2 linked regions of the Xenopus tropicalis genome follow. The protein of the gene in region 1 purifies or fractionates together with the protein of each later gene. This does not show direct contact. Links are inferred from orthologs where the notes say so. Each region holds a gene or a part of one and is shown on either strand. Other genes may lie near its edges.

Region 1 (2,507 bases):
ATCAGAATGGTACCCCGACTGGCAATCACTAGTTTGGTTCGAAGACTCTGATGTTACGGATTCCTTGCTTTTACTCTGCTTCAAAATGCTAAAAAATATAATTGCGAGAAATTATACTAAAGTCACCTTGTCATTGATCTCCTCCCTGGCTTATAATTTTACAATAGATGGTACATTATTTATTATATTTATGTATAAATACATATATATATCAGTATTTGATATTACATACCTAAAAAACTGTGTTTGGTCAGTTCTGTTTTGCAGTGTTTTCAGCTCTTCTGATGCAAGAACCATTCCACTGTCTGTCTGGCTCTCCTAAAACAAGAAATACAGATTTATCGTAATTGCCATCCTTAGCTTGCAACCACTGGCAGGATTTGGCATGTGCAGTTGTGGCCCCCACACCTTCCCCCTAGTCAGTTGTGCATAAAACTACTTTAATTATAGGTACTTGCTTCAAAATGTGTTTCTTGCCTTCTGTATAATTGTGCTCAGCACTGTTCAGTCGTTTCTGCCTTCTGTTCCAAATTGAGCGATTTTGCACCTATTGACACAGGTGAGCATAGGAACTACCACCGGCTTTGTACCCAGTGTCAATAGGAGCAGCACACCTGTGCCTTAATATAAGGCACAGGTGTCACTCTCATGCCGAACACTGGAAATGATGCCAGATGAATTTTTGCATCTGATTTGTGACAAAATGCAGTTGGGATGCAACTGGCCAAAAGTAATTGTGCCAACTGCATTGACCCCTGGGCGACCACAATGATGCTGGGATTCTGAGTGAATGTGAATGTACATATGCCCTATTATGTGTGTTGCAACCTCTGTGAGATGGACTGAACTGTAACTGAACAGACATAATTGCATCATTGATCGCTGATTGACAGAGCATAATCACAAAGTTGTTCATGCATGATCTCTGTTTACTTCTGTTGCTGTTCCGCTTCTGGCCTTGGGAGCATGATGTATTGTGGGAAAGCAAAAGGTGCAGATGTGTAGGAGTGTTAAGCTAATGGGAGAGACAGGCTTACATCTTGAATGGCTTTCACTGCAGGCTCTACAGGAATGTCCTCAAATGTCTTGACACTAACAGGACGGCTCTGTCTCTTGCTGCTGCTGTGAAGGAACCTGGAGTAAAATATTATACTGTTAAAAATGATAAAAGGTGAAGGCAGTAATGTCATAATCTCACTGTTCTCAAATAACTAGGACAGATTTCCACTCTAAATAATCCAAGGCCACACCTTAGGTATATTGTATATATGAGTTATTTCAGAATGAGTTGCATGACTTGCTATAAATCCCACATTTTTGAGTTTGGACAATGCAAGCAAAAATTCAAAGATTATGCATAAGAGCAAGACCGCAGTAGAAAATACAAGACGGTATTATTGTGTATACAAAAATTAACCTCAATCCACTGTTTTCATGTACACATGAAAAAATGTCAAACCAGCTGTTAACTGGGATGTTGTGTGATGTATGATGTGTATTCTATATATAGGATAGTACCTTAATCCAGCTGTGTTATCATAATGGAATTTTGCATCACAAACTTCCTCTTCCTCCATACAGGAAACAGGTGAAGTTGGCACAGAGAGGCCAGAATCATCTTCAATGTTTAAAGATACTGTAAGTGGAATATAGTCTTTTCCATCCTTGAAAATAAAGGATTCCATATTAATAACAGAATGTTGTTAAAATATACAGTACAACAACTATGCTTTCAATTGTAACATAAACTATTCCACACTCTCAGGTACTATCGGGTTTATGCTGCGTAAGATAACGCTTCTAAGAAAGTCACAATATATGTATTGCAATAGTAACACATTACCCATTATTGTTCCCCTTAAACATACAAGGCACTCCCCAAATTTGTAAAGAACCAAACAACATACACCTAAGATTAACTTGACTGCCTGGGGCTTGGGAACATTTATTTGGTACGTAAAGGTATTATGCATGGCACATGTCTGAATCCCGATAAGTGGGCTTTTTTGAAATTACACCCTTTTAAAATCTTTTATACCCTTCCTTATGAATGCTAGAGAACCCTGGGCATTTGGTTTACTGAAGAGGTGATAAAGACAACCCCTACCCACATAGAGTGCCCCTACACTTTTACATATAAAAGGTTAGAAAACCCTGGGCATTTTGTTCAATGCTTTTTGTAACAGTGATCAAGCCGATCCCTATCCATTGCTAGTCAATTGCCACTAACATCAATGGGAAGTACTGAGTCACTCTGAAGGAAGCAGACAGCATGTGTTTGCTTATCAAAAGGTAATGGTTTTGCAATTGCCCAAAATCATTTCTTCACTGTTCAAATGAGTCCATTAACTACAGGTTAAGATATACTTTCTGGACAAAGTTTAATATGTTTTCAAATGCCATAAACAGGTGTACTGTATGCCATGTATTGACTTACCTGTTGCACACTGGCTTGCAACAGATTTCCTAAATGCTCTACTAGCTCTGAAAAAACAGGCCTTTGTTGT
Region 2 (3,500 bases), on another chromosome or scaffold:
ATCAAATAATATGCAGATTTAAAAATGTAATTCTGACAAGAATGATTGTATTTCTAAATGGTATTGATCCTTTTACATCTATGAAATCTTATACAGTAAATCTGAATGAATCATGACAGATGCCATATTATAAAAGTTCTTATAAAATCAGTGCCCAGTGATGTATATAAATAAAGGATAATAAATCATATAAATAAATAAGAATATATTTAGGGTTTTTGTGTATTATATAGTGAAAAATGTACCCCCTTTTGTAAAATACTGTATATGGATATTATAAGTCAACAAGGAGTTCCATGACCATATAAAAGCACAAGGTCGAAGGCTGAGTTTTGTACAGGTTAATGGAACTCATATATATTAGAATGAAGACAAAGATTATATTTTCTTTATATAACAAATACATATATATATATATATATATATATATATATATATATGTATTTTAATAATTTTTCCATCCCTTTAATCCACACAGATGGGCATGGTTATGCTTACTGCAAAAGTTTCCAAACTCTAGGGCTAATACTCCTTAGGTTGACTGAATTCCAAAGAAGGTGATGTTCAGGATAGTTCTAGAATCTTGGCAGGAATACCAGTTAGGAACACATCTCTAAGGAAAACTTATTTGCTTTCAAGATATTCTTGGAACCATAACACACTGACAAGATAATGCTTTCATATATTTGAAACTTATTATAATGTTTGAAGAGTTAATTACATTCTGAACTACAGTACAGGCAAGGCTTCAATACTCTGAAAATCTAAAAACCACTTCCTTACAATATGCATCTGTTTTTGAATATCCTAAACCATTCTTTTGGCTTTCTTTAGTTCAACTGTCAACAAAAAAAAATAATCTACCCGTTAATGTGTTATTCTAGCAATACAAATGTTTATCTTCTCTTTAAACCTGTTTTATGCAGCCCCTGGACTATGAGAGTGTTAAACAATATAACGTGGACATTGAAGCAACAGATCCCCTTATCGACTTACGTGTGGCAAAACAGACTAGGCCCAAGAGTATTACAAACGTCATCATTAATGTCCTTGATGTGGATGAGCCCCCAGTGTTTTCCAAACCATTCTACAAATTTGAAATTTCAGAGGATTCTAAATTAAACAATATTATTGGATTTGTCTCGGCAAAAGATCCCGATGCTGCTAATAGAAACATCAGGTAGAAACATATTTTGAATATTAACATACAGAATAGATTGTGCTTAAATTAGTTCTGTAAACATACAAGGAGACTGCATCAGAGTTTCAGATGAGTAAATTATTGTAATCTATTTTTTTATTGTAACTGCAGATATTCTATGAGAAATTTTAAAGATGAACCAATCAAGGTAACAAACAATGGAAATATTATCAATGTCAAGACGCTTGACAGAGAGACTGCGGATTGGCACAATTTCACTGTGGTAGCTGAAGAAGTTGATCCTAGCAGTAAGTTCTACTCTTTGCTCAGATATTTACCTGTGTTTATATACAAATGCTTCTGGATCCATATTTTATCAGTGGCAATCTTTTAGGGTTTCTTCATCATAGCACAGAATTTCATATACTAGTACATATTGTGTCTGTCCAGAACTATGTATGCTTTTAAATCATGGCTACTGGCATATACTGGAAATATATTACTTACATTTTCTCCAGCAAAATTCACAAATAGTGGCAACAATCTAATGCCTCATATAGAAAAATCTTTGTGTCAGGAAGGAAGAGGAATGAGGCACTGCAAATCTAAAACTTCCTGTAACTTTGTGTACCTTCCAAAAAATGACAGAGAGATGACAGTACAACCCTGATTGATATGGTCAAAAACTTCAAATTAATGGACATGATGATTTGTAACATAATACAATTTAGTACCATGCCTGAAGACCAAAAAAAGGACTGATTAGACATGTTGATTGATTGTTGGAGGCCAGAATAAACAAAAAAACAAAAAAATATTTGAGTAAAATTGTATGTTAATTCTACAATTTGTGGAAAATAGGAATATAGTCCAAATTCCTTAACTGATCTTTTAAAATACTGGCACAATATATAATGAAACAGTATAAACAGTATTTATAAATTCATGCATAATAATAATTATTAATACTACTTGTACAGGTATGGGACCTATTATCCAGAATGCTTGGGACCTGGGGCCTTTCAGATAATAATTTGGGCGATTCCATGATTGGGAACTCCATACCTTAAGTCTACTAAAGAAAAATAAGCAGAAATGTTTTGCCTCCAATAAGGATTAATTATATCTTAGTTTGGATTCATAACAAGGAAATGTTTTATTATTACACAAAAAAGAAAATCATTTTTAAAAATTAGAATTATTTGATTATAATGGATTCTATGGGAGTGGTCTTCCCGTAATTTGGAGCTTTGTGGATAATGGTTTTCATGATAACGGATCCCATACCTGTATTGTTATTATTAAAGCAATAGTACCACATTTTGTCATTGTAAGTGCTAAAAGGTTTATTCTTCATGTAACTTAAATAAAAAGGATATATACTGTATATATATTTTACTGACTAAAATAAAAGTGATGGTTTCCCTTTAAAATCACATCAAAAAGGCTACATTGTGCACTTGCTATACAGGAAGGGGAAATATAGCTTGTTATAAAAGTTTGTGAGTTTTAGAGTAAGTGAGAGGTTTGCTATTTTTGGGAAATGCTGAGTTAACAAGTTAATGAGTTCCCTATATGACTTGCTATATCCCTTTTATATTCAGCAAAGAGAGAGCAACAGAACGGAGCACTATATAAGCTACAGAATGAACATTTGAGTTTTAAGTACAATAACGTCATAGCCGACATCTCATAGAAGTTTGCTCCTTAAATTTGTCTGGACCCAGTTGGTAAAGAAAAAAAACAACCCACTGCCAAAGGGAAACTCCTACTCCAATCACAGATAACAAAAGTCAGCAGTAGACAAACCACCTCCTCTGCATTTTGTGCTTACCTGAGATAAAATTCATTGGGGGTTATGTAATAAAAGGCACTAAGTCTGCCCAGTAGCAGTAACTAATAGCAAGCAATCATCAGGCAGAATCATCAGTCACCTGTTTAAAATTGTATTGGTTGCTATGGGTTACTGCTACTGGGCAGACTAGGGGAGAGATTTACTAATCCACGAACGGTCCGATGGCGTCCAAATGCGTTTTTTTTGTAATGATCGGTATTTTTGCGACATTTTCGTCGGTGTCGCGACTTTTTCGCATGTTCCGCGACTTTTTCGTCGCCATCGCGACTTTTTCGTATATTTTCCGTGACTTTTTCGTTGCCGTTGCGAAAAAACGGATTGGTTTTTCCACAGTTTACAACCGCTCAATACGAAAAAATCACGCCGCCGATGAAATAGTCGCGCAAAATACAATAAAGTCTCGGTGGCAACGAAAAAGTCGCGACAAATACAAAAAAATCACGACGGCGACGAAAAAGTCGCAAAATTTTTGTTTCCAATTGAAACTGGGTAAAATAGCCACAA

The links. The genes of interacting proteins can lie anywhere in the genome.
Region 2: the proteins of kdr (region 1) and cdh5 purify together in Homo sapiens (affinity purification with western blotting; 3 studies listed by BioGRID and IntAct, with this or other methods). This does not show direct contact. The link is inferred for Xenopus tropicalis from reciprocal best matches to the Homo sapiens genes KDR and CDH5.

What each region holds. Positions count from the first base shown.
Region 1 is NC_030677.2:40,282,382-40,284,888, forward strand, and holds part of kdr (vascular endothelial growth factor receptor 2), read right to left. Parts: coding exon 2,438-2,507; intron 1,665-2,437; coding exon 1,519-1,664; intron 1,135-1,518; coding exon 1,038-1,134; intron 319-1,037; coding exon 233-318; intron 89-232; coding exon 1-88. UniProt on the Homo sapiens protein: Tyrosine-protein kinase that acts as a cell-surface receptor for VEGFA, VEGFC and VEGFD. Plays an essential role in the regulation of angiogenesis, vascular development, vascular permeability, and embryonic hematopoiesis.
Region 2 is NC_030680.2:57,844,536-57,848,035, forward strand, and holds part of cdh5 (cadherin-5), read left to right. Parts: intron 1-926; coding exon 927-1,180; intron 1,181-1,312; coding exon 1,313-1,449; intron 1,450-3,500. UniProt on the Homo sapiens protein: Cadherins are calcium-dependent cell adhesion proteins. They preferentially interact with themselves in a homophilic manner in connecting cells; cadherins may thus contribute to the sorting of heterogeneous cell types.